Callithrix jacchus: one gene and its partners. Each later gene encodes a partner of the first gene's protein in a complex. Links are inferred from orthologs where the notes say so. Each region holds a gene or a part of one and is shown in the gene's direction. Other genes may lie near its edges.

Region 1 (5,098 bases):
GGAATATATTCTAGATGTCGGCAAAAATGGGAGTTGGCCCTGAGGTAGCTTTTCACCTTGGGCTCCTATTGCATCTTTAATTTGGTTTCTGTCCTCCATGGGTGTTTGTGTGTGTCTCTCTTTTTTTTTTTTTTTTGACATGGAGTCTCACTCTGTTGCCCAGGTTGGAGTGCAGTGTCATGACCTCGGCTCACTTCAACCTCTGCCTCCCAGGTTCAAGTGACTCTCCTGCTTCAGTCTCCCAAGTAGCTGGGACTACAGGCACCCACCACCACGCCTGGCTAATTTTTGCATTTTAGTAGACAGGGTTTCTCCAAGTTGGCCAGGCTGGTCTCAAACGAATTCCTGACCTCAGGTGATCCACCCACCTTGGCCTCCCAAAGTGCTGGGATTACAGGCCTGAGCCACCGCGTCCAGCCAACTGACCTGCTTTCTATCACTGTGGTTTTACCTTTTCTAAAATTTCATATAAATGGAATCATACAACATGTACTCTCTTTGTATCTGGATTCTTTCACTTAACATAATCACTGTGAGATTCACTTATGTTGCTGAGTATATCAACAGTTCATTTTTATTGCTGAGTAGTATTACATTCTATGGATGTACCATATTTTGTTTATCCTTTTCCCTGTTCAGAATATTTGGATTGTTTCCAGTTCGGAGTTATTATAATGTAAAATTGGCCTTGTTTTTTTTTTTTTTTGAGACGGAGTTTCGCTGTTTTTACCCAGACTGGAGTGCAATGGCACGATCTCGGCTCACCGCAACCTCGGCCTCCTGAGTTCAAGCAATTCTTCTGCCTCAGCCTCCCAAGTAGCTGTTACTACAGGCGCGCACCACCATGCCCAGCTAATTTTTGTGTTTTTAATAGAGATGGTGTTTCACCTTGTTGACCAGGATGGTCTTGATTTCTTGACCTTGTGATCCACCCGCCTCGGCCTCCCAAAGTGCTGGGATTATAGGCGTGAGCCACCGCGCCTGGCCAAAATTGGCCCTTTTTTAAGTGAAGAGGAAGATGATCACAACTAAATCAAGCTGGTTTTATTTTTATTCCCCTCCCTGTGGGACATCAGTACCTGGGGAGAAGAATCCTTTTGCTAAAATAAGGTGATGAAAACAAATCTCGTATATTTTGCTCATATTACTTCTTTAAATATCAGTATCTTGTGTTTATTTATTATTATTCTTTTTTCGATACAGTGTCTTGCTCTGTTGTCCAAGCCCAAGCTGGAGTGCAGTGGCCCGATCATGGCTCAATGTAGCCTCGAACTCTTGGGCTCAAGATCCTCCCTTCTAAGCCTTACCGAGCCTAGGACTACAGGCGCGCGCCACTGAACTCGGCTAATACTGTAGTGTTTATTAAGTGTCTGTAAATCCTAATCAATATAAGGAAAATAAATTCTTTTTAAAAATGTCAGGCTTTTTCTTTGAGTTGTAGGAAAATAAATTATAAAGCCTCTGAATTCAATGATAGAAAATACAAGTCGCTCCCATAGTGAGGCAAAATTTGGACGGCATTGAGTTTATCTGATGAAAACTGAGCGTGCAGAACCTATCTTTCGACCTGAAAATCTCTGAAGATGAAAGGATTCAATTTGCTTACAAACAGGGACCCTGAGCTATCTCTGGCTGCTTTGCATGCCGGGATTTGTAGTTCCCGATATAGTCACTTCAAGATGGCGGAGTTGCTAATGACGCGCGAAGGAGCTGCCCCGAGGGAGTCTGGGCCGCGAGGGGATAGGGTGACGCAAGAACTTGGCGGGCTGGAAGTAAAAGCCAGGTGTTGAAACCTTTGCACTGAGAAAGGCCCAACTCTCGCGATATCTTGGCAGGGCCCATTGGAACTTGGGGCCCGACTTATCACCACGGGCTTTTGTTGGGGGCGGAGCGTTGACGCGAGCTGCCCGGGAGCCGTTGGTGCCGGGTGTAACGCGTTGCGGCCGAGCCGCCTCCGTGACGGACGTAACCATGAAGGAAGAAAAGGAGCACAGGCCCAAGGAGAAGCGAGTAACCCTGTTAACGCCCCCTGGAGCCACAGGCAGCGGTGGTGGGACTTCGGGGGACAGTTCCAAGGGGGAAGATAAACAGGATCGCAACAAGGAGAAGAAAGAGGCGCTGAGCAAGGTGCCGAGGCGGCCGCTGGCCCGGGAGAGGGTGGGACGGGTCCGCGAGTGCTGGGAGGATGGCTGGGAATGGGGCTGCCCCTTTTTTCTCTCTCTCTTCTATCTCTTCACCTGAATGGAAGTCGCATTATCCTGTTTCATCCAGTCACCCGAAATGGGGAGAGCCTCTCCCGGCCAAACCCTGGTGGGGGTGAGGAAAAGGGGGACTCCCTAAACGGGAAGGGTTTAGGTCAGAGCTGTGAGATGATAATGGGAGGGGAGAGCAACGGTAAAAAGAATGAGAAACTGGCCGGGCATGGAGGCTCACGCCTGTAATCCCAGCACTTTGGGAGGCTTAGGTGGGCGGATCACTTGAGGTCGGAAGTTCGAGACAAGCCTGACCAACATGGTGAAACCCCGTCTCTACTAAAAAAAAAAAAAAAAAAAAAAAGAGAGAGAGAGAAACTAAAGGTGTAATGGGGGAGAAAAATAGTGAAAGGGACATGAGGGAATAGGAATATAATTAACGGAGGCGAGTTGTGCAGGGGTATTAATGGTATGGGAGGGTAGATCGAGAGCATCCTATTTTGAGAGCAATGGGTGGATTTTTAGAGTTTTGAATTCTTAAGTTGAATGGAAAAGGATTTTGTTTTAAGATGTGTTGTATGTCGGAGAAAGTTGTTACTGAATCAAGATTTCGTGGCATCCACAAAGACCAGGGTTGGCTTGCTAATTTCTTGCCACTACATTTGTTAAAAAATGGGTGATCTTTTCGATTTTGATGCACAAACTTGGTAAACTGCAGGGCAGCTGTAAAGAGAAAAACCTGAGATTTCCTTGTTCCAGGCGGTTCTCATTTCCAAGGGTTTTTTTTTTTTTTTTTAAACCGTGTTACTATTATGTGTGACTAATTCTGAGCATTGGGCTGCAGAAGAATATTTCCTCTTGGGTTGTTTTTTTTTTTTTTTTTTCCTCCTGGGTTTTTACAAGTGATCTCATATTTTAAAGCCCAGCTTTCTTCAGGAACTGTGATTCTTTCAAGTATGACAGAAAATTGATGTGCACTAATTTTCTTTTCCTATGCCTTTCTTAAGGTGGTAATTCGAAGATTACCTCCCACTTTGACCAAGGAGCAACTTCAGGAACATCTTCAACCTATGCCTGAACATGATTATTTTGAGTTTTTTTCTAATGATACGAGGTAAAAAAAAAAAAAGGAGGAAAGGGGTAAATAAAAAAAGGTTTCTTCCATTCTTTTTATCCTACTGTTTTTCATTTGATTTTTGAGCTTGTCTTTAATATATGCATACTTGTAATTGGGCCAGACACCTGCAAGTACATTTACATAATTGCTTTCCTTTCTGCAGTCTGTATCCTCATATGTATGCCAGAGCATACATCAACTTTAAAAACCAAGAGGACATTATTTTGTTCAGGGATCGCTTTGATGGTTATGTATTCCTTGACAATAAAGGTGAGTGCTGGTAACTGAAGTAAAAAGGGAGTTTCTTTGTCATTTGGATGTTTAAGACAATATATGCATTGTGTTGTTTCCTGGGGGATAAAATGTGCAACATTTAAATAGTGTTAACACATTCAATAAGCTTATTGCAGTGTTACAAATAGACATGTTACTTTGTTACCTTTCATAGCCCTCAGTTATTTTTATTAACCTACTACTTCTTTTTTATTTCTTTTTTCGAGACGTTTTCGCTCTTGTTGCCCAGTCTGGAGTGCAATGGCGCAATCTCGTCTCACCACAGTCTCCCCCTCCCAGGTTCAAGTGATTCTCCTGCCTCAGCCTCTTGAGTAGCTGGGACTACAAGCATGTGCCACCACGCCTGGCTAATTTTGTATTTTTAGTAGAGATGGGGTTTCTCCATGTTGGTCAGGCTGGTCTCGAACTCCCGACCTCAGGTGATCCGCCCGCCTTGGCCTCCCAAAGTGTTGGGATTATAGACATGAGCCACTGTGCCTGGCCATAACCTACTATTTCTTTAGTTTGATCAACTGAGTGAAATTGCCACTGTTTTCTCCTCATGTGACAGATTTTTTTGCCCTGGCTTAAACCCGCTGTTTTGAATATAGAGTTTCAGCCACAGTACTGATAAGTGACTATTCAACTTGTTTGATAAGTGTTAAATATTTACTTTATAGTTTGCTTCAAGGACAAGCATTTACTTAATTCAGATCCATTAAGCCAACAGTTCCCAGTTGAGATACTGTTTAACATTCTCACAAAGTTGTATATAAAACATGAAACTTGATATATCTCTTACTTTGTTTTTTGTTTTTATGGTTTTTTTTGAGATGGAGTTTCGCTGTTGTGCAGGCTGGAGTGCAGTGGCACGATCTCGGCGCACTGCAACCTCTGCCTCCTGAGTTCAAGCAGTTCTCCTACCTCAGCCTCCCAAGTAGCTGGGATTATAAGTATGCGCCACCAAGCCCAGCTAATTTTGTATTTTTAGTAGAGACGGGGTTTCACCATGTTGGTCAGGTTGGTCTCAAACTTCCAACCTCAGGTGATCCACCCGCCTCAACCTCCCAAAGTGCTGGGATTACAGGCATGAGCCACCTCGCCCGGCCCTTAACATCCGGGAAGGTCCAGTCTATAGGGAAGACACATTTCTGCTTTAACACTCTATTGTCTGCTACTTACAACATTTAGCCAGAGAATGTCTAAATTGCCACTTTTCTTTGGTTTGCAGTTATACATAAATAGTGTGTCTCCTTATTTAATTTTGGTTTCTTTCAGTATTATTTCAAAGTTGGTAAAAATTAAATCTTTGTCAGGGACTATGCCAGTGAAAATTGAAGGATTGCCACTGTTTGTCCAACTTTTATTAATCTCCCCAAGCCAGCTGTTTTTCCACTCCAACTATTTTATTCCAACTATTTTATTTAGATATTTAAATCACTAAATTCTAGTTACTTAGCCTGGAAATCTGAGTTGCATTTAATTTTTTCCTTTTTAAAAATCTCTTACATGTAAG
Region 2 (5,331 bases), on another chromosome or scaffold:
CCCACCAGAGTGTCCATAGCAGCCCTCATGCCCACCCTGGATGCTTAGGGATGCCTGGGCTAGAAGGCTGTGCCCACAGCCCCTGCCTGAGGGCCCATAGCAGCCCCCAGGCCCACCCTGGCTGCTAAGGGACCCCCTGGCTAGGGGCTGTGCCCACAGCCCTTACCAGAGGGCTTGTAGAAGCCCCTAGGCCCACCCTGGCTGCTAGGGACTGGCTATTTTGAAAATATGGTGTAATATGATTCTGGGAACCATATCATAGGGAGATGGTAATGTTATTCTGTTTTTTTATATATATTAGGCACAATAACACTAGCTCTAGTTACACCTCTGTGGTATTGACAAAAATGTCATCCTCACCCCCCTTGACATTTGAATTGAAAGCACAGGGGGGTTTCACCCCTTGCAATGTTTAATTCAATATAACTGTTATTTTGTGGACATGAATGACCATATCAGAGTGTGGTTTACACCTCTTGCCGTATTCAGAGTGTTTCCATAAGGACAGCAACATTCTCCTCTCCTTCTCTGGATATTAGGAACAATATCACAGGACCGGCATACAGCCCCAGTCACATCGTGAGTAATGTCATCTGTAATCCCCTAGGTATTAGAAACAATATCACAGGGGGCTTGTGTGCTTTCTGAGATATTTGGAGTAATATTCTCTCCGTTTTTGAATATTAGAAACAATACTACAGTGGTGGTGTACACTTCCTGCGATATTCAGGGTATGGTCATCCTTTGTCCCTCGGATATGATTAACTACATCACAGAAGCATTTTACTTTGCCTGTGATATTGGAACAATCACAGAGTGTACACTTGCTTTCACAATGAGAGTAATACCTACTTAGGATATGATGGATAATATCACAAAATGGACACACATGGGTGTATACCCATTTTGATATTAGGAGTGATTTTTTTCTAATATACTAAAAATAATATCCTGGAATATACTTATAATGTGTATGTTTTTTGGAATATTACAATAAATGTATATTGTATGTACCATATGTACATTTACTGTGATGTACAATGTGTACAAAATACCTATACACAATAAATTTACATAATCTGTACAATATGTACATTTATATGTACATAATGTGTATGATATGTACATTTATTTTAATGTCACAATGATACCATATATGAAATCACAAAAAATATATATATAATACGTAGTATCACAGTAAATGTACAGATTGTACACATTATGTACATATAATTTATTTTGGCATTTCAATATGTAAACGTACATAATGTACACAGTATCTACATATGTACTATATAGACACGTGTACATATGTGTGCACATTGTGTACATTATGTACAGATGTATCATATATACACGTGTACATAATGTGCACATTATGTAGAGATGTACATTATGTACACGTATACATAATATACACAGTATATTCACGTATGCATAATGTACAGACTATGTACAGATGTACCATATATACACGTGTACATAATGTGCACATTATGTAGAGACATACAGCATGTGCACATTTGCATGATGTTTACATTAGGTACAGATATACAGTATGTGCACATGTACGTGTAGTTGCACACTGTGTACATGTAGGTGCACCTTATGTGCATATGCACAGCCCCCCAGCCCAGTGAGCAAGAGGACGCTGCATTGTCCTAGTTGCCAGCAGGGGGCATCTTGCCACTGCAGTGTGAGCAAGAGGGCCCTGCAGTAGTCCTCCACCAGGAGGGGGCACCCAAGCCCGCCGTTTCAGATTCCTGAGGCTCCGCCGCAGATGTGCGTCCGGTCACAGTGCCGCCCTTTGTCGCGTCACAGCGGTCTGCAGAGTTGCGTTCTCCTTAGTGTAGATCTGGGGGCGCTTCGAGGATGGAGCTGCCTCCTGTTCAGCACAGACCTTGGGGCTTGTGTCTTACTGGGAGAGGGCCTTGCAGTGGCCCTAGTCGCCAGAAGAGGGCGGGGGCACATCACCGGGAGCAAGAGGGCACTGCACTGCCCATCCGCCAGCAGGGGGCGCCCGAGCCCGCCTTTTCAGACGGTGTCACGGTACCAGCGTGCATTGCATCTCGGCGGTCTGCAGAGTTTCATTGTCCCATTGCAGACCTGGGGGACACTGCGAGGATGGAGCTGTGTTCTCCACAGCATAGACCTAGTGGGCAAAGCCTCACTTTGGGACAAGTCTAGGCCGTGTCCACAGTGAGTAAAATCTTTCCTGTTTGCACTAGTAAGATCTCGGTGTGGAAACCTGGACCCCAAAAACCCCTCTGAATCCTGAGCACCGAGGTTCTCCCAAGCCAAGGCCACGCGGCTGCAGTGCGAGGTGCACACCGCAGCCTCAGAATACAAATGGAGCGTTCCTAAGGCAGATATGACATCCGAAATGCCAATACAACACCCGCAGCGCTCATGTAGAAAACAGCTGTGATGCTCATGCAGGGCCTCAGTCCACAATGTTACTATATAATCCGCACTGCCCATGCGGCCGGGCCCATACAGCAGTCTGAATTGTCAACACTGACTTGTCAGTGCAAACGCAGAAACTAACGTATGGTTAGGGCTTAGGGTGAGGATCAGGGCTAGGGGTTAGGGTTAGAGTTGGGGGTTACCGGTTATGTGTTAGGATTTAGGGGCTAGAAGAATTTTAGGCAAAATAAACAGTTTATTTAAGCAAAGGAATGATTCGTGAATCACACCTGAAGCACCAGAACACAAAGCAGGGCTTGGGGCTTCGAGCTCTTAGCGGTGGCAGCTAAGTGAGGTTTCTCCTTGGCTCCAGCTAGGCGACCACCTGTTGGTGGGATGCTTCCCTCAGCGTCCTTAATCATACAGCCAGCTGGCGGCTGGGCTTATTGTCATTCACTGGGTGGTTTGCTAATGTTTTGAAGTCAGTTTTAATGCCTCCAATTCGGTTTCTGTTTGCTTTGCAATACCTCAGGCTAACGGCTTCCTCCTGTTTTGCTTTAACATGTCAAAACCATACTTCATTTTCATTTTACTTTACTGGCATTAATAGAAGTAAATTCACATTTATGTTGTTCAGAAAGTCAGTTTAATTGGCAACCTATTTGTGATGGTGCGTAAAATAATGTCTGTTCATCATTAGCATCTTAGGTTAGATGAAATATGTTAACTCTATTAAGCTTTTTTATTAAACCATAACGGGAGTTGAGTTTCTTTTTCTTTTTTTTTTTTTTTTTCTCTCTTAGGCTTTAATCATTTAAAATACACTCAAGCATCTCCTAATGATGTGAATTCTTTCTGAGAAATTTGTCCTTGGTGATTTCATTCTTGTCCGAACACCATAGAGTGTCCTTTAAAATCATAGCTGGTGTAGCCCACTCCACACATAAGTTATATGGTGTCGCCTATTGCTCCCATGCTACAAACCTGTATGGCATATCTCTGTACTGAATGCTGTAGTCAACTGTCACACCATGGCGACTGCAGATTGTGATCCCAAAATACGTGAGTCAGGTCTCAGCCAATTTAGAACGCTTCTTTTGCCAAGGTTAAGGACATGCCCATGACACAGCCTCAGGAGATCCTGACAACATGGGCCCGAGGTGGTCAGGGTAAAGCTTGCTTTTATACATTTTAGAGAGACAGGAGACACCAATCAATGTGTGTAAGATGTACAGTCTTTTGGTTCAGTAAGGTGGAACAACCGGAAGTAGGAAGTGGGGGTGCTTCTGGGTCAGAGGTAGATAAAACAAAAGGTTGCATCCTTTTGAATCCTTGATCAGCCTTCCACTGAATACAATTTAGTCTGGTTCAGTGAATCTGCATTTTCACATATACAGTAGGGCAGAGGAATGGTGTGATCTTGGCCCACCACAACCTCTGCCTCCCAGGTTCGAGCGATTGTCTTTCCTCAGCCTCCCGAGCAGCTGGGATCACAGGCATGCACCACCATGCCTGGGTAACTTTTATATTTTTAGTAGAGATGGGCATCCACCATGGCTTTTGCTGTGGTTATCTGTTCAGATATTTATCCAGTTTTAAAATCACATATGTATTGTGTAAAATCTTCTCACGTCTGTCTTGTCTTTTTGTTTTATCTACAGTTTTTCACAGTAGAATATGTAGTTTTATAAAGTCTGTTATCAATATTTTCGTGAATTGGCATTTGATGTTGTGTATTAAAACTCAACACCGGCCAGGCACGGTGGCTCAAGCCTGTAATCCCAGCACTTGGGGAGGCCGGGGTGGATCACGAGGTTAAGAGATCGAGACCATCCAGGTCAACATGGTGAAACCCCGTCTCTACTAATTAAAAAAAATAAACAATAAATTAAAAAAAAAAAAAAAAACTCAACACCAAACCCAATGTCATCTAGATTTTCTTTTAGATTTTTTATAGTTTTGTATTTCATATTACAGTCTCTGGACTATTTTGAGTAGGTTTTTGTTTTTCTTATTTCGTGTATATAGTCATTTCATTCTACATGGCTTCCAAAGTCTTCTGTCACCATTTTTGGGAAGAATATGGCTACAGTGGGCTTCATTTTGGCTTGAGTTTCCAAAATTATTACATTGAAGAAACTGAATATTGAATTTTGTAGGTATTTCAGGACAGCCAGGTGGGGGTGCACATCTGCTGAGAAACTGAGCAAGAGTGTCTGGGCTGAGCTCTGGTGCCACCAAAGGGTATGTGAACTCACTCCTGACCAACTTCCCTCTGAGGTGCCAGGGCAGCACGAGGGTTGTGTCAACTAAGTCTTCTTCATTAATGAGTAAAAAGCTTCCTTTTCACAGCTGTGAGTGCAGAGAAGAGAGTCTTTAGAGTACTCAGCAAAGAAATTCATCTAGAAAAATGAAATCCCCAAATCCCATTATTACAGCTACACCCTGATATCATTGTCAACATCCAGACACAGTGGCTGCTAAGATATGTTCTCACAGTGGCCTGTAATATAATAATCACACCATGTCCTAACATTGCTATGATATTCATACCATGCCCTAACACCAATATAATACCCACACCATACTCTAACACTAATCTGATATCCACACCGTTGCTTCTAGTACTAATGTAATACTATCCACATGGTTTCCTGATGTTAATGTAATATCTGCACTGTTCTCCATCACCAGTATAATATATACACCATGTCCTAACACTAATATCCACACTGTGCCGTAACACTAATGTTTCCACACAGTAGCCTCTAATACTAGTAAGTATAATGATACCTACTAAGTGGAGTCTGTTGACATTGAGGCTTTTATAAGGGTTCACAGCTTTGGATGAAGCGTAGCCTCTATAGTGGATTTTGGTGATGTCTCTGCTTTTCTGGCATATTATTGATATGGTTGTTTTAAAAA
Region 3 (5,209 bases), on another chromosome or scaffold:
CTCTGTAGCCTCAACCTCCCAGGCTCAAATGATCCTCCTACCTCAGCCTCCCAAGTAGCTGGGACTGCAGGTGTGCACCACCACACCTACCTAATTTTTAAATTTTTTGTAGAGACCAGGTCTCCCTATGTTGCCCAGGCTGATCTCAAACTCCTGGGCTCAAGTGATCCTCCTGCCTCAGCCTCCTTAAGTGCTGAGATTACAGGTGTGAGCCACCATGTCTAGTCCCCTTCTCTTTTATACAATTCCCTTGTTACTACCCATATCCAGTGTTTTGTAATAAAAATGCCTTATGGTTTTATAGCAATTTTGAAATTGTTTCTTATAACAGTTCTGCTAGGTGTACATTATTACGCTCATTTAAAGAGAAGGAAACTGAAGTCTAAAAAGTTGAGTCAGTTCACCTATAGTTACAATGAGTCACTGTTACACAAGCGATTATTTTAACCCATCTCCAGTGATTTTCCCCCACCACACCTACTCTACACTCTGCTTCTAATGCTTTTTCAGGGAGAAAAGGACTCAATGTTAAGACTGGGGACAGGAATCAAGACTGCGGTCCTGTCTGATTCCTGTCCCCAGTTCTAGTTGCCAGGTCCCAAGAATGATGTCATCTAGGCACTGTCTCTAGAACCATTCGTTCTAAGCTGGAACTTAGATGAATGAAAGTAGGCTCCTATTATAAAATTATGATCTTGATTGCCCTGGGCCTACTCAACTGTACATTTTTTCAGAGCCAGAAAGGCTTCATAGAGGACAATCACTTTACCCTGAAAAGAGCGAGCCCCTTTGGTCAGTGGTCCTCAACTCTGACTCACCTGGGAGCTTTATAAAAAGTACCAATTCCCAGGCCCAGCGGTGGAGATTTTAATTGGCTTGGGGCCCTGGCATCAGTATTTTTAGAGGCTCCCAGGTGATTGCAATGCGCAGCCAGGCTGAGAATCACTGCTGAGTAAATGGGATGAGTAATGGGAGATCAAATACTCACTTTAACTTCTCAAGCACCTATTCTGGAGACCAGTGGGGTAGAAAGATAGAAATAAAAGGTAGAAAGGGATGCAATGGATAAGTGTGAGTGAATTAGTTCCAGGGAAATGGCAATCTCCACTGTGGATTCAGGGAGAGCGTCACTGAGGACGACTTTCTTTTTTTTTTTTTGAGACAGAGAGGACGGCTTTCTTAACATTCAGGTCAGTGGAAGCCAACTTGAGGCACATATCGTGCGCGGCGTCCTCCGAGGAGCTCGGGTCATTTTACCCCACTTTACTGCCGAGATGACCTAGGTGCAGAGACGGTAAAGAGCGGTGTACGATTCACACAAGTCGGAAGTCCTGTGAACTGAGGTTGAGCCTGGCGGGTGCAAGGCTCGGGGTGTTCGGCCCGAGGTCTTTAAGTGAGGTCTCTGAACTCCTCGTTCAAAGCCCAGAGGTTGGTGAGCGGTAGGCTCTCGGCCTCAGGCCTGGAGAAAACCCAGGGGGTTGAGGGGTCAAATCTCAACCTCGCTCCCGCGTCCAGCTGGAGGGACCGAGCTGCTCGGCCCAGCCTCCGGACTAAACAAAGTTCGTTACCCGTGTAGCAGTCTTTTGCCGCTTCCGGGCGAAGAGGTTAGCAAGAGTGAAACCCTCCACTACGCGACGTCGTGGTAACGTCACTTCCGCGCGCCGCCCCAAACGTCAGTGTCGGGCGCAGACCGCGGCGGTGCGGCTTTCTCTTCGAGGTTCCGTCTCGGTTGTCTTTTGCGAGCCATGGAGAGTGACTTTTATCTACGTTACTACGTGGGGCACAAGGGCAAGTTCGGCCACGAGTTCCTGGAGTTTGAGTTCCGACCAGACGGTAAAAGCAGCCTGTAGCCTGCCGGGAGCGGGGACCAGGGATAAGGGCGGGCTACAGGCTGCCCGGAGTCGGGAGGCGGAGGGTCGGAAATCAGTGTGGAAAGACAGGAGGAAGGGACTGAGACCTGTGCAGCGAGAATCTGAAAGGAACGCCCCTGTGTCTGCTCCAGGGTTTTTTTGTTTTTGTTTTTTTTTAATCCATTTAACCAGTGTTGACCTTACGCTCACTGTGTGCCAGGCTCTGTTCCACTCTTTGGGGAAACGGCAGCGAAGGTAGACAAACTTCCCCTCTCATGGAATTTGTGTTTTAGTGCCGGGAGAGAGATCATAAACAAAAAGATGATTCCAGATAGTAGTGAGTGATTAAAAAAAAAAAGGTAGAATAATTGCTGGATGGGCTGCTTTTAGATAGGTTGACCATTAGAGCTCTCTGTAAAGGGTATATTGCAGCCGATCCCTACTTAACAACAAGGACCCAGCCTTGTGAAGCTCAGGAGGAAGACCATTCCACCCAAAGGGATTGGCAAATGTCAAGGCTGCAGGGCGGGAATGAGCTAGGCATGCCTCTCAAGTGGTCAGTGTGGTTAAAGAGTGATAAGGTGAGAGATAGCAGGAGATGACGTCAAATAGGTAGGTAGGAGCCACACCTTGTAAGTCTTTAAAGACCATGGTAAAAGCTTTGGACTTGAAAGGTTTGTTGTTGTTTGGACTTGGAAGGGTTGTTGTTTGTTGTTGTTTTGAGATGGAGTTTCGCTCTTTTTGCCCAGTCTGGAGTGCAGTGGCACTATCTTGGCTCACTGCAACCTCCGTCTCCCGGGTTCAAGAGATTCTAAGCCTCCGCCTCCCGAGTAGCTGGAATTACAGGCACCCACCACCACACCCGGCTAATTTTGTATTTTTGGTAGAGATGGGGTTTCACCATGTTGGCCAGGCTGGTCTCGGACTCCTGACCTCAGATGATCCGCCCACCTTGGCCTCCCAAAGTGCTGGGATTGCAGGCGTGAGCCACTGCTCCCAGCCGGACTTGGAAGGTTTTAAACAGAGAAGAAATGGGATCTGTTCTTGAAAAAGCATTCTGGTTATTGGGTGCACAAGGGCAAGAGTGGAAACAGGGCTATTGATTAGGAGGAGACTGTTGCAGTTGTCAAGACAAGAAAGTTATTGGTTGGGACTACGGCAACAGTAGAAATGGAGAGGATGGTTTAGGAAACTGTTGGAGGCAGAAACAGTTGGACTTTGCTGATTGATAGGATCTTGTTGAGGGGGCACTGTGGTGAAGGAAAGAGGAATCAAAGATAACAGAAAACATCCACTAAGTGGGGCACAAAGATGAAACTGACAGGCCTCGACTGTGAGGGAGATAGATTTATAAGCAAACAGTGATGAAACAGTGTATTGGGTGTTGTGGTAAAAAGAAACAGAGGAGGCTCGCAGCAGAGAAGAGGCACCTAACCAAGCCAGAGGGTCAGAGAAGGCTTCCTACATAAAATGATGTGGGAGAAAGGGATGTGAGGAATTGGTTAGGAGACCAAGAGTCAAGAAGGCATTTTAGACAACATGCAAAGAGGCTGAAAACCAAAAAGTGCTTGGGATGTTTCAGACAGAATACCAAATAGTTTGACTCCAGCCATGTGAGAGAAGAATATTGCAGGAGTGAGGCTAGAAAAGCAGGCAGGGGCCAGCTTAGCTGTATGCCATGTTGAGGAGTTTGGATTTTACCAGGAAGGCAGTGGAAAGCCATTAACTGTATTAAAATATTAGAGTAACCCAATCTGATAGGTCTGTTACCACATCACCGCGTCCACCGTATGGACAGTGAACTGAATGTGAAGAAACTTGAGGCAGAGACACAACACAGAGGCTGTTGGATAAATTCATTTGGCTCATCTCACATGTATGTCTTCTAGTCTACGGCAGGAGAAGTCATGTCTTCTATTTACTTTTATCTTCCCCTCATCCCCACCATATACTCACATTAACCTATTACATGCACCCATGGACAAAGGGTCTGGTGTACCAAATATGCTCAGTGATAAAAGCAACAGCTTTTCCATCACAGAAATAGAGGGTGGCACAGTCACATGATAATATATGTAAACAGCATCCTACAGTTTTCAAAATGTTTTCACAACTCATTTGAGCCTCAGGAGGTCCTATGTACGGGTAAGTTATCAATTACTATGCCTGTTTTCAGGATATTAACCTGCAAAAATGTGATTTGACAATGTCAGAAAAGAGCCTGCTTGTGTTTATATCTCACCTGAGCTGCGTTTTGCAGTAGAGTGTCAGCTGTATATTTGGCTGTTTAAGCCTGAAGTGAACTGAAAAAGACTAGTATTGTTGATATACCATAAGAGTAAATAATAAATCTATTAGACACTTTGAGCAAGTTAGATACATTTTAGGGAACTGCTGATAGTCTTGGTATGTATTGATGCTTTTATTCATATGTTTTTATTATACATGGAATTTGTTTTTTGCCCCCACAGGGAAATTAAGATACGCCAACAACAGCAATTACAAGAATGATGTCATGATCAGAAAAGAGGTATGAGTCTTCTGCCTTCTGAGAGTCCTTCATTTGCTACATTTCAGCTTTTTGTCTTGCATTTTTTTGTTCTTTCTGGTAGTACTGAAAGGTAGAGAACAGGGAGAAAAACACATGTCTGTAGACAGCTTCTGGATTATTTCCCAAATCATCTTTTAGTTGGTATTTTTTTCTTTTACAATGTGGAATCAACTACTGGTAACCATTGACATACCTTGGTTTGAACCCTGAGTATGCTGCCTACTACCCCATGTGACCTCGGGCAAGTTGCTAGCTGAACTTGATAAGTCCTTGTTTCTTCACCTGTAAAAGCAGGGATAATAACAGCTACCTCCCACTCCCAAGTGCTGTCATAAAATTAAATAGGTTATACTTAAAGTGCTCAGTATATTCACTGGCACATAGTACTCAAGGGAGAGCTATTTAATTTACATCTGAATGTGAAAAGGAATGTGGGAAAGCAGTTGATATCATTGAATGCATGTTAGATGTCAGGCAGGGCATCTTATTTAACCCTAATTATAAGCCCATGTGATGGGGGAGGGTATTATAAGAAAATAAAACCCCAGATATTAATTGTGAGGCTTGTTAAGAGTTACCCCTGCTAGTAAGAGATATAGCAGGAATTCCCAACCCTGCCCCAGTAAAGTTTGTATTCTCCATTCTGTGATCTCTACCACATTGTTAAGGCTTCATCAAAGCTACTGTTTACTTTTAGCCACTTTGCCACCTTTGAATATGTCTTAGTATATATTTTCATACTGTTATTTTAGCTATTGATTTTATGCTTATACACATGTCAACATCCTCACTATTTTTTTACACAGGC
Region 4 (5,248 bases), on another chromosome or scaffold:
CTGGGAATGCTTGTTCATACCACTAAACATACACAGAACTTACTTCTCAAGGTCCAATTCAAATACCTCTGTTGACAAGCTTTCTCTTTTTTCAAATTTCCCTACTCTGCAATAGAATGCATTTGCTTCCTCTGCTGTATTAGCAGCATGCTTTATATATATTCCTTTTATTTTATTTTATTTTATTTCGAGACGAAGTTTCACTCTTGTCACCCAGGCTGGAGTACAATGGCACGATCTCGGCGCACTGCAACCTCCGATTCCTGAATTGAAGTGATTATCCTGCCTCAGCCTCCTGAGTAACTAGGATTACAAGTATGTGCCACTACACCAGCTAATTTTTGTATTTTTAGTAGAGACAGGGTTTCTGGACTTGAACACCTGACCTTGGGTGATTAGCCTGCCTTGGCTTCCCAAAGTGCTGGGATTATAGGCATGAGTCAACATGCCTGGCTATGTATATTCTTAATTATCTTAAATATATTAAGAGCAATTAGCAATTGCTCCCTTGTGCTGATATTTGCCTTACATATTTGCTTTCTTTTCTAGACTACCAGTGCAAATGGCTCATTTCTAGTTTCAAACTTTTTGTCACATAGGAAATGTTTGTTAAAAGCTGTTTTATAAAATTTAAAGCTTATTTTACATATTATTCTCATTTGATCTCTCAAGAATTCTGTGAATTTGACAAAGTAGATTGCTCTATATGCATAAGACTGATGAACAAACAGGCTTAGAGATAGTGACCTGCCCAAGGTTAGGAAGCTGTAAGTGTTGGGATTGAATCCCAGGTCTTCTCATTACTTTTTACTAAATTCCATTGAAGGTTATCAACCGACAGACAGGATTACTCTGTGTGTTGGTAACAAAAGGGTGATCAATCATATTTGAAAAACAGACTTTAGTCTTTTCCTTTCCTTCAAACCCACCCCACAATGGAGCATTCTTTCATGCCTCCAATTTAATTCCACCTGGCGAGAAACGTGGGCTAAATATCCTTATTATATCTTAAATCAAATTGCCAAAACTCCACAGGCTACTAAAAGTTAACCCTTACTGAATGCATGAAAAACCTTAGAAGTTCTGCTGTTAAAAGCACGGTGACTGTCAGGATTTTTCAGTGTGTGTGTGTTTTAAGACTTCAGCTCTTCCGTATGATGGATTCCTTTGACTTTGTCTCTATTATTATAGACTTGTAGCTGTTATAACTGTCAGGGTTTTTCAGTGTGTACCAGCGTGTCTGTGTGTCTAAGACTTTCAGCTCTTTCGTGTGATAGATTTCTTGGACTTTGTCTCTATTATTATAGGCTTATAGTCCAGGTAACTACCAAGCATTATCCAAAGGGGAAAGCACCCTGTTAGAAACCAAGAAAAACGGTTTATACTCCCAGTCTGCTATTTCGATTCTAAGCTTTATCTTTATTTAGCTCACAGTTAGAGGCGCATGAAGCCACACCCACCTCACAGATGCCAGACTGGGAGACCAGAAAAGTAAGAGCGACTTGCAAACCTTAGCTCTAAATCCATAAAAAAGACTATCATATGCTCAGATTTCTAGTTTTTGCTAATATACTATAATCCTTATTTTGAAAATAGTGTGCTTCCAATCCTCTTAAAGCGTAAGTCACGTCGCTGCGACCCTCCCTTCGGTGACTCCGGCCTCTCAAGCGACACTCGGCCTTCCAGCTTTTCGGCAGGGCTGCACCGAACGAGGAAAAGCGGCGCCTGTGGTGACGCACGTATTCCGCGCAATGACGTCACTGCCAGGCGCCGGGCGATACCTTGTGTCTGTTTTCGGCGGGCTTAGCAGGGACAAAAATGTCTATGGCTAGCGATTTCTATCTGCGCTACTACGTAGGGCACAAGGGCAAGTTTGGGCACGAGTTTCTGGAGTTCGAATTTCGGCCGGACGGTGAGAAGAGGCCCACGGCACGCGGTGCTAGGAAAGGGGAGCGAGACCTAGAGTCCGTGGAGAAGGCGAGGGGAGGCCGGGTGGTGTGGGGTGAGCCGAGCTTCTGTAGGCTTGAGAGTGTGCAGGGGGCGGAGGCCACTGCTTTCCCCGAAGGAAATAGGAGCTTAAGAATATAGGAGGCCCAAGTTGGTTTTATAAAGTAAAGAGAATTGCTATAAATTAAAGCTAATCCTGTCACAAACTGAAAAGTTGAACCTACAGTAATTATAATTTTTTAACAGTGCATCTGAAGGGACTTGAAAGGTTCTGGAGATGGTCGCCATAATTAAAAATGCTAGCATCTTTTTGAAAACACCCCCACCATTGGTGGTCCAATAGATGAATAAAATCTTGCAACCAGTACATTTTGTTCGTTCAGGCTGTGTGTGTTATTTGAAGGGGAGGAGCTCGACGTGTTAACAAATGAGAATAATAATATGTTTTAGGTGCTTAAGTATAATTGTTCACCACAGCATGTATATAGAGTATCAAAAAAGAGGAGAGAGGCAAAGTTCCACAGGAGGGAATCAGGAAAATCTTCCTAGATGACGACACTACTGAGATGAGTCTGGAAATGAGAGACTTGGCCTTTGAGAGAGAAAAAAACCAGACTTCCAGAGCAGAATGAGCCGAGGACCAGGTGAAACTGCTACCCATGTAGTGTGCAACAATTTGTGTTTTCTGACAGCACTATCCTTAGAGAATGTTACATTGATCTTGCCTACCTCCAACAAGAAAGTTCATTTGGAAACATATTTTTTGGGTTTTTTTGAATGCACATTTTGTGCTGGGCAACAAGCAAATACAAAATTTGAAGATACAATAGTAAGACTTAAATTTAACTCAAAGAGATTGGTCTTGGTGGGAGACACAGACGTTTAACTATAAGGCAATATGCATATTAAGTCCTATAAGCATGTTTTGGACAATGTTCTGTGAGAGCAAGAATAGAAAATTACAGGAGGAGTGTATATTAGGAAAAGAGGAGAGTACCAAGCACTTCAGACGGAACTCACGTTAACTACAGTCCTGCAGTTATTATTTTTTTTGAGACAGGGTCTCACTGTGTCACTCCGATCTGAGTGCAGTGGCACAGTCTCAGCTCGCTACAACCTCTGCCTCTCGGGCGCAAGTGATCCTCCCACTTCAGCCTCCCGAGTTGCTGGGAGTAAGGCCCGTGACACCTCTCCTGACTCATTTTTCTTTTCGGTAGAGACAGGTTTTCCCATGTTGCCCAGGCTGGCCTCAAATTCTCGAGGTCAAGTGATTCAGCTGCCCGAAGTCCTGGGATTACACGGATGAGCCACTGCACCCAGCCAGCCCTGCAGTTATTTAGAAACCTTAATCGCTGTATTCAACCTTACTCTCTCCATAAATTCAGCTAAATTTACCTGAATTGATCTTTCTTTAATATTATTTTCAGTTCCTCTGCCTGTGAACAACATCATGCTTATCCCTATCCCTTTTAGCAGGTCACATAAATTAAGTACCTGAATATTATCAGGGAAATTGTATGGTAGAACAATGGTTCTAATCAATGTAGCTGCCACCGCGCCATTCCACATACCTCCATTGGTAATAGTGAGTCCTGAAGACTGGCATCTTTTTTCTTTTTCTTTTCTTTTTTTCTTTTTTGAGACTGGAATCTTGCTCTGTCGCCCAGGCTGGAGTGCAATGGTGTGATCCTGGTTCACTGCAACCTCGGCCTCCTGGGTTCAAGGGATTCTCCTGCCTCAGCCTCCTGAGTAGCTGGGATTGTGGGCATGCGCCACCACATCCAGCTAATTTTTCACCATGTTGGCCAGGCTCGTCTTGAACTGCTGACATCAGGTGATTCACCCACCTCAGCCTCCCAAAGTGCTGGGATTACAGGCATGAGCCACTGTCCCTGGCCATCAAAGACTGGCATTTCCATCATTTTAGAGTATCTGCAGTACATTGTACCTGTGTCTGGGCAACTGACTGGCCATAAGGGGAAGTATACATCAGAGAATACAAAAATCGTGATGGATTAAAATTAAATATAAACCAGCCAACAAACTCACCAACTTTGACCCAGAAGCATTGTTTGTATGCTTCTTAGTCATAATTCTAAAATGTCTGCATTATCATAATTGTATGCATACACTGGAAGGAAAGAAATTAAAACATTTTGTGTAGTGGAGAAAGCATGAGTATTGAAAGAAAGTAGATTTAGAGCTGAATCTTGTGTGACCCTGGTTAAGTTACTTTGTTTTCTCTCCTATGAATACGTGAGATAATAAAACTTGTTTTTTAGGGTTGTTTTAAAGATTAAATGCTCTGGGTAAGACACTTAGCACCAATACGGACATATAACAAACTTGAAAGGAATGTTAGTGCCTTTTGCAGATTCTCTTTCTAGTTCATGATGTAGCTTAAGAAAACAGGCCTTAAAAATGACCCAATATATAGTATAGGCATGGGCTATTTAAATATTTGGCCACCTTCAACTTCAGCAAACTTAACCAGCAAATATTTATTGTCTACATTTCTGCATCTTACACAAGGAGGGAGGAAATACTAATAAAAGTAGTAGTATCAAATGGTTTTTGCCTTCATAATTGTATACAATGTCATTAATTTTTTTTTGGCAGTTTTTGCTATTATAAATTGATTTTTTTTCTCCACTTCTCACAGGAAAGCTTAGATATGCCAACAACAGCAATTACAAAAATGACGTAATGATCAGAAAAGAGGTAAGTTATATTCAAATGTCTTTTAGCCCATTTTCTTCAAGTGTGTGTTGAATTTACAAAAATACATCTAAGTTTCCATTGTAAATAAGAAGCCAATTTATAGATAGAAAGGCATTTCTGTTTCAAATAGATACAATTGTTGCATCCATAGTGATGAGAAAGTTCAGAGAACTAACTGTGATGTGAACTATACTTGCATTTATCTATTTATTTATTTTTATTTTTTGAGACAGAGTCTCGCTCTGTCGCCTAAGCCGGAGTGCAGTGGTGCGATCTCAGCTCACTGCAGCCTCTGCCTTCCAGGCTCATGCGATTCTCCTGCCTCAGTATACTTCCATTTATTACTGTTCACCTTATAGATCTTGTGACGTCACAAGTTAACCAGTCGGAGGTATTTGGATCTCAATGTTACAAAGGCAGAATACAGTGTTTTCAAAGGCAGGTAATGATGAGAAGAGGGAAAAAATATATGTTAAAGGAAAGGGCAAGAGATGAAGAAAAGTAATATAACAAGGATGAATGAGTCTATTCTATACCTTTGGAATCAATGAAATTTTTCAGTATTTCTCTATTTGAATAT
Region 5 (4,664 bases), on another chromosome or scaffold:
CCTACTTCTGCCACCCAAAGTGCTGGGATTACAAGCATGAGCCACTGCACCCAGCTGGAATTGAACTTTTAATTTTAATTAATTGAAACTTAACTGACCACATTTGGCTTGTTGGTGTCATACTGGGCAGCATAGTTTTAGAGAGTAGGCCCAACTGTTGCCCATTTTGCCTATTGTAGTTTGTCTTCTTCTAGCCAGACAGATTGAAGGATCTTTTGTTAGTCTGAAATCTAACTTAAATACTGGAACTCCTCATTTGGAGTTGCAGCACACTTCTCACCATTGGAAGACAATCTCTAGAAACATTCCTTTTGTTCTTGAGTCATTTTAGCTAGCCAGAGGAGAATCTTCTCTCAAGCTTCCAACCTACAACAGCTCTGTGAATGGGGTATAACAAGTAGATTTACAAAGCATCCCTCCCTTGTCCAGCTGTTGCTCAGAAACTCTTGAGCTGAGATTTTTCAATATGTCAGATAATGTAATGTGCTAATTATAATCTCCCAGATGCAGAGAACAATTTGATAGGAAAAATTTGAACTTGATTTTCTTCACTGAAGTCATTTTTCATGTTCAAAGGCTTTATTACTATATTAAGATGGCAGACAGTGGGGACAAATTTCTAAATGCTGATGTTGACAGCAGAGATAATTTATAGAGAATTTTATTAGTTAAAAGAAGAAAGCCATTTCCCATGTGGACACTTAAACCTGTCATTTTCAGCCGGGTGTTGTGGCTCACACCTGTAATCCCAGCACTTTGGCAGGCAGATCACGAGATCAAGAGATGAAGACCATCCCGGTCAACATGGCAAAATCGTCTCTACTAAAAATACAAAAAATAGCCAGACGTGGTGACACATGCCTGTAATCCCAGCTACTCGGCAGACTGAGGCAGGAGAGTCGCTTGAACCCAGGAAGCAGAGATTGCAGTGAGCTGAGATCGCAGCACTGCACTTCAGCCTGGCGACAGAGTGAGACTCTTTCTCAAAAAAAAAAAAAAAACAAATGAAAAACCTGTCATTTTCTTAATGGTATCTTTAAGTCCCACTCACATATGTCTGACCTGCAGAAGTGACTTTTTCCGTGTATTACAGGTATGGCCAACCATATACACATGGGAGCAGGACCTCCACCTCAGTTTAACCGGATGGAAGAAATGGTACAGGAGGGGAAAGGGGTCGATGGGGGAGGAGGCTGCTTTACATAGCTTGTTCATTGTTTAAAACAAGATAAGGGCTGGGTGCGGTGGCTCACGCCTATAATCCCAGCACTTTGGGAGGCCGAGGCGGGTGGTTCACGAGGTCAAGAGATTGAGACCATTCTGGTCAACAAGATGAAACCTCGTCTCTACTAAAAATACAGAAATTAGCTGGGTATGGTGGTGCGCACCTGTAGTCCCAGTTACTCGCTGAGGCAGGAGAATTGCTTGAACCCAGGAGGCGGAGGTTACGGTGAGCCGAGATTGTGCCATTGCACTCCAGCCTGGGTAACAACAGCGAAACTCCGTCTCAAACAAAAAAACAAAAACAAGGTAAGATCCAAAAGTCAGCTTTCCCATTGATTATCCATGTTTCTTTTAATTTGGATCTCAAATCTTGATGTCTTTCATTGATTATTTTTCAACTCACTTTGCAAATACCTATTAAACACCTGCCATGTACCACACATACCAAGTGTTTTGCAGCAGCTAAAGGAAGGTAGGACTTGATATGAGAGCCCTCTAGAATTCTTGTTCAGGCCTCTTTCTTTGTCTCAGGGTGTCCAGGGTGGTCGAGCCAAACGCTATTCATCCCAGCGGCAAAGACCTGTGCCAGAGCCCCCTGCCCCTCCAGTGCATATCAGTATCGTGGAGGGACATTACTATGATCCACGTGAGTTTTTTCTTGTTGGGGTACTTTTCTTGGCAGGGTGAAGTGAACTAAGACACCAGGCTCCTGGCTCCTGAATTTCTCTTCTGACCTCTCAGTGTTTATCAAACATTGTCTGATTGCTCTTTTCCTCACATGCAATATTGAGAACATCTTTTAAAGGGTTTGGGGGACAAGGTGACTTGTCCATGTGATGTGAAGAGTAAGGGTTTATGAGAGTCCCAATGTGATATCTTACAGCACAGTTCCAGGGACCAATCTATACCCATGGTGACAGCCCTGCCCCGCTGCCTCCACAGGGCATGCTTGTGCAGCCAGAAATGCACCTTCCCCACCCAGGTAAGCTTTGTACCTGTGCTTGTATACCTCCGGTACCTGAGGATGTATGTTAGGAGTGCCACAAACCCCATCCTCCTCAGCTCTGTGCTGCTAGCCTGTGAGTGTGGCCATCCTTGGGCAACAAATTCCTCTTGTGTCCATCCTGAGGACTTCCATCCTGAGCCTCATTATGCTGAGCAGTCCAGCCAGGCCATCCTATGAAAATGGTGTTACTTTCTTTTTCAATTTTTGTTTTCTTCTCCTTATCCAGGTTTACATCCCCACCAGACACCAGCGCCTCTGCCCAATCCGGGTCTCTATCCCCCACCAGTGTCCATGTCTCCTGGACAGCCACCACCTCAGCAGTTGCTTGCTCCTACTTACTTTTCTGCTCCAGGCGTTATCTTTGGTAATCCCAGTTACCCTTATGCTCCAGGGGCACTGCCTCCCCCACCGCCGCCTCATCTATATCCTAATACGCAGGTGAGATGGTTAATGAGCATGTTTTTCTAGCTACACATCCTTTAATTCAGACAGGAATGTGGTATGGGGAGAATCCTAAAGGAATTTGAGAAAACATTTCAATGCCACTGATTTTTATGTGGCACCAGGACGCCTCTTAGTGGTCAGGAACTGGAAATGCAGCTTATGTAATGCCCATCATCTTTATTCTTTTCAGTTTTTTTTCTGTCACCCAGGCTGGAGTACAGTGGTGTGATCTCAGCCCACTGCAACCTCCACCTCTTGGGTTCAAGCGATTCTCCTGCCTCAGCCTCCCGAGTAGCTGGGATTACAGCGCCTGCCTCCACGCCGAGCTAATTTTTGTATTTCTAGTAGAGACAGGGTTTCACCATGTTGGCCAGGCTGGTCTCAAACTGCTGACCTCAAGCGATCCACCTGCCTTGGCCTTCCAAAGTGCTGGGATTACAGGCATGGGCTACTGCACCCAGCCTTCAGTTTCTCTAATGGTGTTTCTTTCCTGTGTTGTGGTACGTCATAGGCGGCAATATCTGCTTTTTATTCTGTTACATAAAGAAGCTGTATTGTACTCTTTATTACCCCTACCCTTGTCCTGCTTAACTTCCACCATGTTGACATAATCCAGCATCTGAAGTGTCACCACTGAACTCAGCCTTTTCCATTTGTCAGCTGGTGGTAGAAATTAGAGAAATCTGGGTAGTACTTTGAAGAAGGAGAAACAAGAGCATAATAATGATGAATTAAGGCAGAAATGAATAGTCACTTTATTTTGAAGGGTGGGCAGATTTTAGATATTTAAAAAATTATAAATAACCCAATACTCTTTTGTGGCTGAATAATATTTCCTATTTATCATAGATTGGATGAACTCATTCCTAACTTTTTCTTCTCCTGGTTTATCGGGTGCCAGGCCCCATCGCAGGTATATGGAGGAGTGACCTACTATAACCCCGCCCAGCAGCAGGTGCAACCAAAGCCCTCCCCACCCCGGAGGACTCCCCAGCCAGTCACCATCAAGCCCCCTCCACCTGAGGTATGAGAGCTCCTTCCCATACCTATTGCACATGCTCCATCAGTGGGCTTTCCTTCTCCCCAGAGGATTTCCCTTCTTTTCTGGGTGTGTTTCTATGGAAAATGGTCTCTTTGGTATGACCTGATAACAAATTCCAACTTTATTATTTCAGGTTGTAAGCAGGGGTTCCAGTTAATCTGAGTTTCTGAATATTTTAAATCTTAACATCATATAAAAGTAAGTGCACAACTTGCTGTGAATATTATTCTTAAAACTAATGCTCACATTTACTTGATTAACAAACAAAATCACCTAATTAATTCCTTTTTTTTTCTGTCGATTAGTATCACATTTTATTACACAAAATAAATTTCATCCTTGTTGCACATTCACTCTCGCTATAAATCTGGTTTTTAAAAAATCCCTAGGGATTCAGTCTCATCTATTTCATTGACGTCATGCCTCTATTGTAGTCAGAGTCCTCTCAAAGGACAAAAGCAGATGTGTCTGCCTTGGGTCAGCTGCACACAGTGTGCTCCTGGCCTGCCCGATGGAGGCGCGGCTCCCATCATCATCTGGACCGCGACTTCTAGGTACTGTCAAAGTGGCAGTATGTCATCGCCTTCACCAGCCCTTCTCCAGCAGCATAACCAGTCCTCCTAGCTGGTTCTCTGGGGACCAGCCATCATGTCGACGTGGTGGCAGTGTCCCCAGGCAGCTGACCATCCTGAGCTTCTCTTTGGGCAGGCCTGGGCCAGGGCCTTAGGGGATCTCTGTGTCCATGGCATAAATCTGAATGAGATCAAACACAATATTATCAATGATTGGCTTGGTAAGGTACTAAATACCTGCCACCATGGCTTCTCAGCCTCGACCTCAGCAGGTACCTCAACTCCATAGACCTGTAGGGCCAGGTAGAGCACTGCCACAGCTATGTGCTGGGCCTGGAAGCGGAGGCACAGCCCCCCATGGTAGCTGTCCCGCAGC
Region 6 (4,664 bases), on another chromosome or scaffold:
AGTTCATTGAGCCTCTGGGGCTTCAGAGCTTGCTATGTTGAACATTGGGTTAGGCTGGAGGGCGGGTTCAAAAAGCAAACCATGTCTGCCCCTGACAAGCTCACAGTACAGGGTTTCTTTTTTTTTTTTTGAGACGGAGTTTCGCTGTTGTTACCCATACTGGAGTGCAATGGCACAGTCTCGGCTCACCGTAACCTCCGCCTTCTGGGTTCAAGCAATTCTCCTGCCTTAGCCTCTTGAGTAGCTGGGACTACAGGCGCGCACCACCATGCCCAGCTAATTTTTGTACTTTTTGTAGAGACGGGGTTTCACGTTGTTGACCAGTATGGTCTCGATCTCTTGACCTCGTGATCCACCCGCCTTGGCCTCCCAAAGTGCTGGGATTATAGGCGTGAGCCTCCTCGCCCGGCCAGTATAGGGTTTCTATGCTGTCATTGTGAGAGCTAATTTTCTGTTTTATTTCAGGTTTTGAAAAACCATCAGCGATCCAGCAACGAGCAATTAAGCAGATAATCAAAGGGAGAGACGTCATCGCACAGTAAGTCGTCCTGCTGTCAGCACAGGCTGGATGCAAGTCGGGGCAGTACAGTTAGATGCTCTGGGATGACCGTTTTCCTCAGTTTCTACACGTTCAGTACCAACGCTTTCCCTGACTTTAGCCACAGGGTTTAATAATTTTTAAATTTGTGTTCTCTACTCTAGAAGGCTTTCATTTTTTTTTTTTTTGGAGACGGAGTCTAGCTCTGTTACCGGGGCTAGAGTGATCTCGGCTCACTGCAGCCTCCGCCTTCCAGGTTCAAGTGATTCTCCTGCCTCACCCTCCCCGAGTAGCTGGGATTACAGGCGCCTGCCACCATGCCCGGCTTAGTTTTGCATTTTTAGTAGAGACAGGGTTTCAGCCTCTTGGTCAGGCTGGTCTTAAACTCCTGACCTCAGGTGATCTACATGTCTTGGCCTCCTAAAGTGCAGGGATTACAGGTGTGAGCCACTGTGCCCAGCCGAAGGCTTTCATTTTCTTAGCCAGCTTTGCTTAGTGGTTTTTGGTGTGTGGAATTGTATGTAACACAATTTCGGAAAAACAGACTGTGCTTTGCTTCTGCTCTCACACCACCACCACAGTCATCAGCACAGAAGAAGACTTCTGTGACCAGAGGTGTGGGGGTTTTCCAGCTGGGTGTCCTTCAGGTCAACTCTCATACCATCTGCCTGGAGGTGGGCCATGTCCCACAGGTCAAGGGCTCAGTCTCACAACTGCCCTCTTTTCAGATCTCAGTCGCAAGTCTGGACGTCTAGAACTTGTGACCAACCAGCTTCAAGTTGAGGTTCCCACGGCCCCCTCTTTAGGTTGGATTGATTTGCTGGAGCAGCAGCTCAAAGAACGCAAACACATTTAGTGGCTTATTATTCAGGGTACTGCAAAGGATACAGATGTGGGGAAGGGGTGCAGCCTCCAAGAGGCGGGTGGTCACCCTCCCAGAATCTCCTTGTGTTTGGCTATCTGTGCTCAGCCATCCAGAAGCTCTTCGAACCTGGTCCTCTTGGGTTTTTATGGAAAATTCCACGAGGTCAGCATTCCTTCCCCCTAGGGTATAGGGCAGGACCTTCTCTGGAATAATATCATGATGCTTTTGAAAAAAAATTTTTTTAATTTTAATTTTTTCCTTTGAGACAGGGTCTTACACTATCTTCCAGGCTCCCATGCTGGAGTGCAGTAGCGTGATTACAGCTCACCGCAGCCTTGACCTCCCAGACTCCAGCGATCCTTCCACCTCAGCCTCCCAAGTAGCTGGGACTACAGGCACACATCACCATGCCCAGTTAATTTTTGCATTTTCTGTAGAGACAGGGTTTCATTGTGTTGCCCAGACTGCTCTCAAACTCCTGGCGATCTGCCTGCCTTGGCTTCCCAAAGCTTTCAGATTACAGGCATGAGCCACTGTGCCTGGCCTAAACACTTTTTTTTTTTAAAGATACGGGGTCTCCCTTCATCACCCAGGCGGGAATGCAGTGGTGCAGTCATAGCTCACTGCAACCTCTAACTCCAAGGATTAAGGAATCATCCCACCTCAACCTCCCCAAGTAGCTGGGACTACCAGAATGTGCCGCCATTCCATAGTTAGTTTTTTGTTTTGTTTTGTTTGGAAGTGGGGTCTCTCGCTGTATTGCACAGGCTGATCTTGAATTCCTGGCTTCAAGCAGTCCTCCTGCCTCTGTGTCCCAGAGTGCTGGGAATACAGGCCTGAGCCACCACACCATGGAATGAGGGTCTTATGACTCACAGTCTTAAAGTCAGGGGAGATTAGAGCCCTGCTGTGGAGTAGGTGAAAGGAGAGAGCAGAAGGTTAGAGAGACTTTCCTGAGGCCTAACAAACCCATCAATCTAATAAGACTGTAACAGGGTTATGGAGCTGTGAGTCAGGAACTGTGCATAAAAACCTAGATACAGCTATATCTCCTCGCACCACAAATCCTCTTTTAATAGCTTTATTCCTCATTTGCCTAATTTAAAAAAGACTCATTTACATACAGATTTCTTTGGAGGAGTTAGTCCAAAATCATAGAAGGAAAAGAGTTGTATTTAGATAAAGGGGTATCCTCCTTTTACTGACACCTATGAAACACCTCTTGAAGTTAGTCTTTTGCTCCATTGCCCCCTTCAGAAGCCATGTCTACTCTCCTCATGGACACCTAAGAGCTATGACACTGGGCCTGAGTCCCACCTCCTCGCAGTTGAAATGTTGTTGGGTACGGGAGCTTCTTGGAAGAAGGTACCCAGGTGCCTCTGGAGCCCAGCCCTTAGGACACAGCGGTGGAGTGGCCTGTCCTCCCTCTAAATCCCACTGCTCTTGTTTTCTTGAATAGGTCTCAGTCCGGCACAGGCAAAACAGCCACCTTCAGTATCTCAGTCCTCCAGTGTTTGGATATTCAGGTAATTTGCCACTCTTAAAACAAACTGTTCTGTAGTTCTAGGGGAGTCTTAGTTGTACGCTAATATTGGCACTAACTAATACTCTGTCATGATTTCCTTCTTAACTGGAGGAAATTCTTGTCTGCAGACAAGGATCTAGACTGACACATTCAGTTATTGCTGGATTTGCAATTTAAATGACAGTAAGATTTGCCGACCTCTGTAAGAGAAATCTGATTAATATGAGATACCGTTCCTCATAGATCTGAGTGTGAATTACTGCAGTCCACCCTGTTAATACTGAGGATTCTCTGTTTTCTGATAATTTCACCAGGTTCGTGAAACTCAAGCTTTGATCTTGGCTCCCACGAGAGAGTTAGCTGTGCAGATTCAGAAGGTGAGATGGCTGAAGATAGTGGGGTCCGATTTGCAAGTACTGCTTTTGCGATTTAGTTGTGAAACACTCATTTATAATCCAGTCCTGTTTTCTGATACCTCGACCTGCTGAACGTTTTGCCATGAACCATTATATAAATTGCTGGTTTGTAGTAAGTCATTTTTAGTGTGGCTTGCGTGCTCTCAGTAGTTTTTTGCAGCCTTAGAGTGTAGATTTTTCAGCAAAAAATCAATTTTAATAAAAATAGGCCAGGCTCAGGGGCTCACGCCTGTAACCGCAGCACTTTGGGAGGCCGAAGCAGGTGGATCACCTGAGGTCAGGAGTTGGAGACCAGCCTGGTCAACATGGTGAAACCCTGTTTCTACTAAAACTACAAAAAATAAGTTGGGTGTGGTGGTAGTTGCCTGTAATCTCAGCTGCTTCCGTAGCTGAGCAGGAGAATCGCTTGAACTCGGGAGGCAAAGGTTGTGGTGAGCTAAGATCATGCTATTGCACTCCAGCCTGGGCAACAAGAGTGAAACTTCACCTCAAAAATAATTATAATAATAAAACAAATTGTACCTATTTTATACTTACATAGCATAAGATACATATTTTAAAAGATAGCTATTAAGATGTTAATGTGGGTGTTTTTGGTAGATGGGATTATGAAATTTATGTATTATGTTCTGCTAATAGTATAGCTTTTGTAATAAGAAACCAGCAAAATTAACCTGAAATTGTCAGAGAAAATTGCAGGAGAACTTTGTGGTTTCGAGACATAAATAATGGCATAAGTAATCATTGGTGATGGTCTCAGAGTAGAAGCCATTTTTCTTTCTGGGGAGATGTGGATGTTGCTGACTCTGTCCCACCCCCGGACATGAACCTGTGCTTTGATTTAGGGCCTGCTTGCTCTCGGTGACTACATGAATGTCCAGTGCCACGCCTGCATTGGGGGCACCAATGTTGGGGAGGACATCAGAAAGCTGGATTATGGACAGCATGTTGTTGCGGGCACTCCAGGGCGTGTGTTTGGTAAGCACTTTCGTCACTAAAAATGGTACTGCCAATAGTATTTGTAAGACATGTGTAAATGGTACAGGACCGCTTCCAGTTTGGCAGGTCACATGGACTTGCACCTGCGTCACTTGCAGGAGGTGGGGAGGTCTCTGAAATGCTAGAGCAGTTGGAATGATGAATTGTTTCCTGGGAGCCTCGGGTGTAATTATTTCAAACTCTTATGTCATAGATATGATTCGTCGCAGAAGCTTGAGGACACGTGCTATCAAAATGTTGGTTTTGGATGAAGCTGATGAAATGTTGAATAAAGGTATGAGAAACAATTACTTTTCTACTGACGTAATTCTTGGTTCTTAA

Evidence for each region.
Region 2: the proteins of UPF3B (region 1) and UPF2 are in contact, whole or in part, in a crystal structure (PDB 7NWU), measured with the Homo sapiens proteins. The link is inferred for Callithrix jacchus from reciprocal best matches to the Homo sapiens genes UPF3B and UPF2. Residues at the interface, in NP_542199.1 of Homo sapiens: Lys52, Arg56, Arg57, Tyr79, Glu81, Phe83, Asn85, Asp86, Thr87, Ser88, Leu89, Tyr90, His92, Tyr94, Arg96, Tyr98, Ile130, Glu132, Pro135, Phe136, Lys138, Ala139, Ala140, Arg147, Asp148, Lys150, Val151, Gly152, Thr153, Ile154; in NP_056357.1 of Homo sapiens: Lys767, Arg768, Pro769, Pro770, Leu771, Glu773, Tyr774, Lys777, Lys790, Arg793, Gln794, Arg796, Lys797, Leu798, Pro799, Trp800, Gln801, Cys811, Ile814, Asn815, Trp817, Tyr837, Gln838, Glu839, Asp840, Ile843, His844, Val846, Asp847, Gly848.
Region 3: UPF3B (region 1) and MAGOH share a complex: the UniProt entries of both Homo sapiens proteins name them as parts of the mRNA splicing-dependent exon junction complex. The link is inferred for Callithrix jacchus from reciprocal best matches to the Homo sapiens genes UPF3B and MAGOH.
Region 4: UPF3B (region 1) and MAGOHB share a complex: the UniProt entries of both Homo sapiens proteins name them as parts of the mRNA splicing-dependent exon junction complex. The link is inferred for Callithrix jacchus from reciprocal best matches to the Homo sapiens genes UPF3B and MAGOHB.
Region 5: UPF3B (region 1) and CASC3 share a complex: the UniProt entries of both Homo sapiens proteins name them as parts of the mRNA splicing-dependent exon junction complex. The link is inferred for Callithrix jacchus from reciprocal best matches to the Homo sapiens genes UPF3B and CASC3.
Region 6: UPF3B (region 1) and EIF4A3 share a complex: the UniProt entries of both Homo sapiens proteins name them as parts of the mRNA splicing-dependent exon junction complex. The link is inferred for Callithrix jacchus from reciprocal best matches to the Homo sapiens genes UPF3B and EIF4A3.

Annotation. Positions count from the first base shown.
Region 1 is NC_133524.1:115,825,747-115,830,844, reverse strand, and holds the start of UPF3B (regulator of nonsense transcripts 3B), read left to right. Parts: upstream 1-1,934; 5' UTR 1,935-1,971; coding exon 1,972-2,127; intron 2,128-3,199; coding exon 3,200-3,306; intron 3,307-3,472; coding exon 3,473-3,579; intron 3,580-5,098. UniProt on the Homo sapiens protein: Involved in nonsense-mediated decay (NMD) of mRNAs containing premature stop codons by associating with the nuclear exon junction complex (EJC) and serving as link between the EJC core and NMD machinery.
Region 2 is NC_133508.1:2,072,620-2,077,950, forward strand, and holds the start of UPF2 (regulator of nonsense transcripts 2), read left to right. Parts: upstream 1-1,809; 5' UTR 1,810-2,199; intron 2,200-5,331. UniProt on the Homo sapiens protein: Involved in nonsense-mediated decay (NMD) of mRNAs containing premature stop codons by associating with the nuclear exon junction complex (EJC).
Region 3 is NC_133508.1:90,377,801-90,383,009, reverse strand, and holds the start of MAGOH (protein mago nashi homolog), read left to right. Parts: upstream 1-1,675; 5' UTR 1,676-1,745; coding exon 1,746-1,833; intron 1,834-4,321; coding exon 4,322-4,380; intron 4,381-5,209. UniProt on the Homo sapiens protein: Required for pre-mRNA splicing as component of the spliceosome. Plays a redundant role with MAGOHB as core component of the exon junction complex (EJC) and in the nonsense-mediated decay (NMD) pathway.
Region 4 is NC_133510.1:12,487,330-12,492,577, forward strand, and holds the start of MAGOHB (protein mago nashi homolog 2), read left to right. Parts: upstream 1-1,741; 5' UTR 1,742-1,818; coding exon 1,819-1,912; intron 1,913-4,609; coding exon 4,610-4,668; intron 4,669-5,248. UniProt on the Homo sapiens protein: Required for pre-mRNA splicing as component of the spliceosome. Plays a redundant role with MAGOH in the exon junction complex and in the nonsense-mediated decay (NMD) pathway.
Region 5 is NC_133506.1:71,777,352-71,782,015, forward strand, and holds part of CASC3 (protein CASC3), read left to right. Parts: intron 1-1,093; coding exon 1,094-1,158; intron 1,159-1,755; coding exon 1,756-1,870; intron 1,871-2,107; coding exon 2,108-2,206; intron 2,207-2,456; coding exon 2,457-2,668; intron 2,669-3,575; coding exon 3,576-3,698; intron 3,699-3,849; coding exon 3,850-3,873; 3' UTR 3,874-3,914; intron 3,915-4,291; exon of another isoform or gene 4,292-4,664. UniProt on the Homo sapiens protein: Required for pre-mRNA splicing as component of the spliceosome. Core component of the splicing-dependent multiprotein exon junction complex (EJC) deposited at splice junctions on mRNAs.
Region 6 is NC_133506.1:135,886,086-135,890,749, reverse strand, and holds part of EIF4A3 (eukaryotic initiation factor 4A-III), read left to right. Parts: intron 1-465; coding exon 466-538; intron 539-2,862; coding exon 2,863-2,929; intron 2,930-3,242; coding exon 3,243-3,305; intron 3,306-4,189; coding exon 4,190-4,322; intron 4,323-4,536; coding exon 4,537-4,617; intron 4,618-4,664. UniProt on the Homo sapiens protein: ATP-dependent RNA helicase. Involved in pre-mRNA splicing as component of the spliceosome. Core component of the splicing-dependent multiprotein exon junction complex (EJC) deposited at splice junctions on mRNAs.